Linked DNA regions of Callithrix jacchus. The main gene of each other region encodes a partner of the protein of the gene in region 2 in a complex. Links are inferred from orthologs where the notes say so. Each region holds a gene or a part of one and is shown on either strand. Other genes may lie near its edges.

Region 1 (3,618 bases), on a different chromosome or scaffold from region 2:
ACAAGTTTGCCATCTCACGATGTAGAATATGAATTCTCTACTTTACATTATGTCAGCATAAAATGTCCTGTATATGTCTTCTGTCATTTCTGCAAACATCTTGGGAGTCTTTCTCTAGGTTCCCAGTCTCTCAATCCAGGACCAACTCTAAACAGTGCAGACTCCGGTTGCTACACTCTATCAGTGAATTTATTTCACGTTCATCCTGTTGGATATGGCAAATTTGCAAAGCTCAGATGATGCTCTTTTCTTCACCACTCAGTAAAAATTTCATTTCTTGACCACTTATTTTTATGCATCAAACTCACCTCAAAGAAACACAGTAGACCAGAAAGCCAGTGCACGTTCTAGTTCTTTTGGCTGAATCATGCATCATGTAAACAGAATAGCATATGATGGACCCTTTGAGAACTCAGCACTTGTCACAGAAATGTGTGTTGTACACAGGCCAGCCCAGTCTGGAGCCTGACTGCGTGCTGGGTGAGGCACTTGACTGTAATCAGATAAGGTGACCCTTAATCTCCTGCTCTCTCTAGAGCCATACGTATGGCCTTTAAAATGACTTTGCCCCACTGTTGTCCTAATTTGAAATTTTCTTTTTTAGCCACATAAATAGAAGAACACAGTTTGAAAATCCTGTTCTGGAAGCAAAAAGGAAGCTACAGCAACATAACATGCCCCACACAGAACTTGGAACAAAGCCCCTGCAGGCCCCAGGTTTCCGAGGTATGATACCTGTCAGCATGTGATGTTTCAAAGGGAAAATTATCTGTCAAACTGCCTGCTCTTCCAAATATGTCTGTAGCTTGGACCATTTTGAAAAATTGATTGCTTTCTCCAGACCCTTCTATTAGCTTTAGCTGGATTTGCTAAATTCTCTCTAAACTAATGCCTTTAGCAACCACAGATGAAGTTAAAGCCTCAGGCAGTACCTTGTAGGAATGTACAGCATGCCGCCAGGTAGAGATGAAGGGATTTTGATAGTGGCACTGTAAACTGCAGAGATTCATAGAGACTCATAAGTTTGTCCTTAAAAGACCAAGCACAAGAATGAGGCTTGTTCTCCTTTGTGACAGTAGACAGCTCCTCATCGACATTACCTAGGCCCAAACTCATCCGCCCCCACGCTGCCCCGGAGAGGTCGCGCAGCGTGGATGACTTGTCTTACCATCAGCGCGACCCAGCAGGGAGGCCCTGGCTGTTCGGTATGTCCCAGGGCTGCTTGCGGGACTACACCTGGGAGCCACGTAGTGGGATGAGTTGCTGCACAAACTTTTCACAGCTAGTGGGCTAAATAAAAGCACCAAAGAGCCTTTGGAGTCGGGAGGTCTAGTCTTGCCTGCTAATTTTCACGCCATATACTACAGCATAATTAAATGAATGTAAAGGTCTCCTGATGAACTTCTCTCCAATTATAAACATTCGTTTGATAAAGAAAACACAGAAGAAAAGATTATCTATGGTTTTTATGTTTTAAAGAAGCTCTGTTTTTAATAAAGATACACGTGACATGTAAGTGAACAGAAAAAGTAAAAGTCTAAGAGAATGACTCATTTTTTTAGAGTTGATTACATACCACCCAAAATGTAACAAGAAAAGGTATCATGCAGAATACTTAACTGAGTTTCCATGTATGATTTGGCTATTACAAATATTAAATCAGATCACCTAAATATAACATTTTTAAAGAATCATGTAAAATATTTATCTGTGAAGGAATTTAAAGCAGATATTAATTCCATTTCCTAGTGTGACTGTTATTTTTAAAGCACTTATTATGCTTAGGAATATATTTATTACAGATTGTAGCTGGAAAAGCATATTATATAATCAATTAGCAGGTAAATCTATATGACTGCTTATTCAGATTATTCAGGCAGTTGTATGATTTGAATCTATCAACATATTGTTACAAAATGTGTTACCTTTACATTCATAATTATATCTAAAAACATTGGCTTGCCTTTTGCTCACATTTTAGAGTATACTAAACACTATGGGAGCCAATAGCAATTTATATATCTGGTTATCTTCATAGTATCTCACAATAGAGGGGTGTAAACAAAAGTCAGTCCCACATACAGGTACTCTTTCTAAGCAATCTGGACCTTTGAGTATGTGATCACATTCCACTGCTTATCTGTTTGCTATACTGTATATGCTGAAATGTTGTGCTCTCATTCACTTAAAAAAATCACAAGTCCATTTCATTTTTTTACTCTTATTTCTTCAAGGCTTAGTTTAGGACTGGCCACTGACACATACCTCCTACCTGGAATCTTTCATAACAAGAGGAACAGATCCAGATGTGTCTGGATGATTTGAGCTCCTTGTTCCTCTTTCTCTGAAGGCTCTGGCCGTCTGTTGACACAGCCTTTTTTAAGCCCAAGAAGGCCAAATTAATGAATGGAAACTGATTTGACAAAAAGTCTGTCTCCAAACCAAACAGCTTTTTCATCTTTCCCTGGATGCTTGGGACTGCTCTTTACCTGTAGGAAGTTCTAATAGTTTTGCTCCTCTTGTAGTCACCACCTGCTTGCATTTGCTAAGACCCCCACATTCACCCCGGGGATTGTTGCTGCTCGGGGGCTGGCTTTCTCTTGTCTGAGAACTTACCTTGAACATGCCTTTTTCTTTTTTAACTTATATTGGCCAATGTAGAAAAACCACTCTTCACCCGGGATGCATCCCAGTTGAAGGGAACATTCCTCAGCACCACCCTAAAAAAGAGCAACATGGGTTTTGGATTTACCATCATTGGTGGAGACGAGCCTGACGAGTTTCTGCAGGTGAAAAGTGTGATTCCAGATGGGCCTGCAGCACAAGATGGAAAAATGGAAACAGGTAAGGTCCTTGATGCTTTCGAAAATTGTTTTGCAAATTTTTTTTTTCTAAAGGCAAATATAAGGAGCTTCTTTTGTGTTTTTATTCAAAAGACAAAGGTCACTTCAGTTTACGAAAAGCATAAAGTATAAATTATGTTTCCCTAAGTTAAAAAATATCAAGTTGAGTTAATTTGGAAACAATTTTGAATATAATTTTTGCCTTATATTTTTAGACTGCCCCTTCTGTTTGCTGGCTTCAATGGACTCTTGAGATTGACACTTGTCTAATTTATATCTAGAGTTTGTTCTTAGGAGTGTAATTAACATTTCACACTTTTCTAACTTATATTCAGCCACAATATTTTTAAATCTGTGTTAATCTTTTAATGTTCTCATGTTAAATCATCCAGGTTAGTTATTGAAATATACATGCTCATCTTATAGAAAAAATTTTAAACTGGTGTAAGTTGGTATAGGTCCCCATACAATGTTTTACTATATGGGTATTTTCTAGTCCTTAAAAATTATTTTTCATATATAATTACTCAGATGTCTACTCAAATTATAATTGAAATTTATTTCATGTGGAAATACAGAGGCAAATTGCTAAGGGCAGGAATGTATAAAATATGAAAATTATACAGAGTAAATGAAAAAGTAATGAACGAGGTTTGGTTCACAGTCTGATTTTAAATTTTCTTGCCTGGCCCATAATCTTGGATAAGTCCCATAACTTATAAATATTAATTTCCTTATCTAGAAAACAATGAAGAAATTAAATTGGACCTTATGT
Region 2 (4,339 bases):
TTAATTAAATCTACTGCTCACTCTCACCTCTCCTGAAACAAAATCATGAATGGGTATATGCTTCCCTTTCTTTCATTTCTATGTCGAGGATGGGACCAGGTATGGTAAAGATACAAGGAAAAAAGAAGTAAAGGAAATCTGTGGGGAAGAATGGGGACCAGTGGACCCAAGGATGGATGTGTTGGGGTCACGAATACAAGAAGGGGCCCCTCACTGCCTCTTCCTATTTCCCTGTTGGGTCCCTTTGATGTCCCTCACCCCGAAGAGGACCTCCTCGGTTTCGCTGACGACGTCTACAATCTCCCCGACCCTGTCACTCAGTTCCGCTGTCTTTCCACCTTCCTCTGGCGGACTGTTTCCAACCCCGGGCAGGGTCCTCTCGTTCCGCAAGGAGGCGCCCAGGGTTTCTGTGTCGCTTCCATCAGAGGAGCCGCTGTGGACGCTGAGCTCCTCAGCTTCGTCAGTGTCCGAGTCAGGGGCGGTGTGGCGGCGGATACGGGACACGGCTTCTCGCAAGGCCCCGGCGTAGGGCCCTGGGGTCCGCGCCCAGCCCCGGCCTGAGCGCCGCTGGACCACCGCCACTTCCGAGCCCTCGGCTCTGCTCCGGGCTCCCGAAGCTGCTGGGCCTAAGGCTTGGTGCTCTGGGCTACCTGGCTGCGTGGGGGCGTCCCGCAGGTTTACTTCGGGGGCCGGGAGCCCCAAGATGCTGAAGGTGCGCTCCTCCAGTGAGGAGTCCCCCGGCCTCCCGCCCTCAGCTTCTCCCCCGCCGCCCTCGCTAGGCTGGTGTAAAAGGTGACTGCTTGACGGCAGCTTTTGGCAAGGGGAAGGAAAGATTGTGGCCCGTTCACTGTCCTCCTTGCCGGGCTTCGATTGGCTGGGGACATCCCCTACCACGCGTGGCACCCCAGAGGGCAAAAGCTGCACCTGCTGGGTTCGGGGGGTTGGGACATATTGGGATCGTATCACTACGCACGTGGCGTCAATGACAAAGACGCCTTCCCCACGGGATGGGCCCTGGGAACTGCGGGGCAAGGTGTGGGCACGGCGGGTCGCCTTCCAACACTCCAGGGTCTCTGGTCCTGCCCCCTCTCCAAGACCGAGGGATTCTCTCCATCCCGTGCCTCCAGGAGCCCAGGGTCTGGGGAGTGTCTGGCTATGGCGGGGCGGCTGCTTTTTAGGGGAGGGAATCCAGCATTTGGGGAACCAGATCTGTTCTCTTCCTTTTTTCCCTTCCCTCGAGCCCTTGATGTGGTGCCTGGACCTGGGAGCGGGACGCGGGGCACTGGGAGCCGCAGTTGCAGACCCCGCAGGAGCTGTCTCGGTGCCTGGGCTCCCTGTAGCTTTGACTTGGGGATGGCTGTCTCTACCACTGTTCAAGTCAGCAGCAGCCAGCCCCAGGCTTTTCTCCACGAACCCCTTGCCGGACTCTGGCCTTGCTCTGGCTGCTCCACAGCCTGGGGATCCCCCCAAGAGACCCTGCCCGTGTCGGAGACCCCAAGCCCCGAGGACGTCCCGGTAGATCCGAGGATCCAGCCTCTTCTTCATGCGCCCTCCCTCTGTCCTGGAGGGAGTAGGAGCTGGGGCTGATGAAGCGGGCGCTTGGGAGTGCCCGGGTCCACGCTTAGTCCCCAAGGTCCTATGGGGGCCTTCGTAGGAAGGTGGAGCCACGTAGGGTGGCGGCCGGTCCCAGCGGCGTCGCGGGGCCGTACTGGCAGAGCCTCTCAGCAGCAGGTGAGCCTCGTAGCTTGGGGGCCCCGGCCGCCGACCTCCCCAGGGCCCCGCCCACGCCGACCCTGGGTCGCTCTGCGGCTGCGCGAATGGACGGGGCGCTCGCCCCACCTGTGCCAGGAGCTCCGGCCGCGAGGGTGCAGGGAGCCCCGCCGGCTGGGTCGCCCGAGGGGCGTTTCGGGGCTCCGGGCGGGGCCGACCCTGGGGGCTCCGTCTGGCCCCGCCAGCCTTGCGCCTTTTTCGCTCTGTCTCCTTGGCCTCCCGCTCCTGCGACGCCGCTTTCCTTTTCTCTTGCTCCCGAGCTCGGACCTCGGCCAGGGGCCCCGCCCGCCAGTTGGTCGCCTCCTGCAGCACCCTGGAGGCCCAGGGCCGGCGGGGCGGCGGCTGTGGGGATCCCGGGCGCGGCCCACACCTGGGACAATGAGCAGGAACCCAGGTGAGCAGTTTGTGGGGGAAGGGAGCCGAGGTCCGGGGAGCTGGGAACACTGGAGACCGCTTGGGGCAGCCATAAGAAGGGGTGTGTGTGAGTGTGTGCGCGTGTGCACGTGCGTATATGTTAGGACTGAAGTCGAAGTGGGACTCCTCGCCATCTCTCCATGCACACTTTAACAGCGTCTGCCCCATCTCACCTCCTGCCCTTTCTCACGCCCACTCCTATTCCCCCAAACAACCGGATGAGTCAGGCCCCAGCCCTCGGGAGGGGGCAGGGGAGAGAGGCGTGGGAAAGAGAAAGGGGACCAGCAATGCTCGCTAGTGCCTTCGGGGAGGTCCGGACCCCACTCCCCGCCCCACCACTCTCTTCCCCTCACCCCTGCTTCACTCACGTGCGGTTCTGGAACCCGCGAGCCCAGTGGCTGGCCTGGAAGTCCATGGGCTGTCGAGAAGGGGCGCGGCGACTATAATGACAGGAAATAGTCTTCACTTCGATCACCAACAGCTTGGACTTCTGCACCCAAAGGCAGCTGCCAGACTCCTCATCCTGGAGCTCCTGGGGGCTGTCAGGCCCCTCGGAGAACAGTGGGCCATCCAGCATCCTGCCCCACCCCACCCCGGCCCCCCACCCTCCCACCCGCCCCAGGAGCCCCCTCCCAGCCCAGGGAGCCGGCGACCACTGCAGAGCCGCGGGCCCGGGGACTGGGAACTATATATACCCGGGCACACGTGTGTGTGCCTGTCTCTGTGTGTGCGCGCGCATGTGACACCGCGCGGGCTGCTCCGCGCTGCTACCTCCCCCATGTGCACGGCCGCCCCCTGGGGCCCGGGATTGGACGCCCCTTCCCACTGCTGTTGTCCCCCAAGCCTGATGGGATCGCACGAGTGGGCGGGGGAGGGACTTATGATTCTTGACAAGCTGACAGTGCCCCCTCCCCCGCCCCTACTTCTTCAACCTTCCTGCCGTTTTAACCCTTTACTCCTCTGCCTGTCAGGTTGCCTGACCGCCAGGGTTCTGCCCCTGGCTTCCTGCCTCAGATTTCAGTTTCCCCAAAACGGAGTGGTGAGAATGGAACTCAAGGTCTCTGCCTGCTACTCTGCTGGTTTCCATGGGGTTGGGGTGCAGGAGGGGCTGGCCCACGGCTGGGGGGCTATTTTTAGCGGCAGTGGCTGTTCGGGTACAGAGATGAGATGAGTAACCAGCTCCCATGCGGTGGAGAGAGGAGGCGGTGGCTTTCACCAGGCTTTTGTGCGACTTTGGGGGAGAGCTGCCTTCCCTAAGCTCAAAAAGGTTGACCCCTACACCCTTATCTCCTCACCAGCTCAGTGCTGCCCCTAGGACTGCTGGTACAGCAGGACACAGGCACCTACCTTGGCCACCCAAGCTGCCCTCCCAGTCCCATTCTACATGTTTGTCCTTGAGCAGCCAGGGAGCCGTCCCGCAGCAGCAGGCTTTCACCCCGAGTCCAGACGCCAGGATGTGGGGGTTATAGTGTTCTGTGCCCACACAGCTCTGCTCAGCTTTATGGAGGACAGAGTAAATGAGTATGCACTCTCACCCTTCCAGAGGGGGATGGAGGAGGAATGGTGTGTTTGCTTGGCAAAACTAATCCCCTAGCAACTGAAATGACAAAAGTGGCCCTTATTTTTCCAATGTAGAGCTCCCCCTTACCACCACGATGCCTAGTTCACTCAGCCCCCACCTGAAGTGGTGCTCCAGATGCTCACCTTTTGGGCTGCCTCTATCCTGGGGGGCTGTTGCTTACATCCACATGATCCCTCCCCCTAAGCTTATACCAGGTGTCCCCTGATTCACCATGGTAATGTTAGTGGCAGCACAGCCCACGCCAATCCTTCCATGCAGAGACTTAGCAACCATGCCTGGCAACCATGGCAGCAGCTTCAGTGGAGGGGAGGGGTGCAGAGAGAGGGGAAAGAGAGTGTGTGTGGCAATGATTCCTCGGGAAGAAGGGATAATTTGCCTCTCTGGAGAAGAATAGGTAAGAATAGAAGCCTGTGAGTCCCAAATTTTATCCCTTGTCTTTCCCTCAGCTTCATCCTCACACTGAGACTGATTGGATGGGTTTTAGGGGGAAATGGGAGAAGCAAGAGTTCCCAATTAGTTTTCCACTGATGTACATGGAGCCCTTTGGGTCCAGACCCTTCCTTTTAAGGGGAT

The links. Proteins that work in one complex are often made in the same cells at the same time.
Region 1: the proteins of DDN (region 2) and MAGI2 are in contact, whole or in part, in a crystal structure (PDB 6KKG), measured with the Mus musculus proteins. The link is inferred for Callithrix jacchus from reciprocal best matches to the Homo sapiens genes DDN and MAGI2. Residues at the interface, in NP_001013763.1 of Mus musculus: Asp222, Arg223, Pro224, Pro225, Pro226, Tyr227, Val228, Ala229, Pro230, Pro231, Ser232, Tyr233, His237, Arg238, Thr239, Leu240, Gly241; in NP_001164217.1 of Mus musculus: Glu308, Met309, Ala310, Tyr311, Thr312, Glu313, Gly315, Tyr318, Ile320, Asp321, His322, Lys325, Thr326, Thr327, Ser328, Trp329, Asp358, Tyr361, Tyr364, Val366, Asp367, His368, Arg371, Arg372, Thr373, Gln374, Phe375.

What each region holds. Positions count from the first base shown.
Region 1 is NC_133512.1:71,716,677-71,720,294, forward strand, and holds part of MAGI2 (membrane-associated guanylate kinase, WW and PDZ domain-containing protein 2), read left to right. Parts: intron 1-604; coding exon 605-726; intron 727-1,076; coding exon 1,077-1,205; intron 1,206-2,661; coding exon 2,662-2,844; intron 2,845-3,618. UniProt on the Homo sapiens protein: Seems to act as a scaffold molecule at synaptic junctions by assembling neurotransmitter receptors and cell adhesion proteins. Plays a role in nerve growth factor (NGF)-induced recruitment of RAPGEF2 to late endosomes and neurite outgrowth.
Region 2 is NC_133510.1:70,561,079-70,565,417, reverse strand, and holds the start of DDN (dendrin), read right to left. Parts: upstream 2,850-4,339; 5' UTR 2,762-2,849; coding exon 2,553-2,761; intron 2,165-2,552; exon of another isoform or gene 2,141-2,164; coding exon 211-2,140; 3' UTR 1-210. UniProt on the Homo sapiens protein: Promotes apoptosis of kidney glomerular podocytes. Podocytes are highly specialized cells essential to the ultrafiltration of blood, resulting in the extraction of urine and the retention of protein.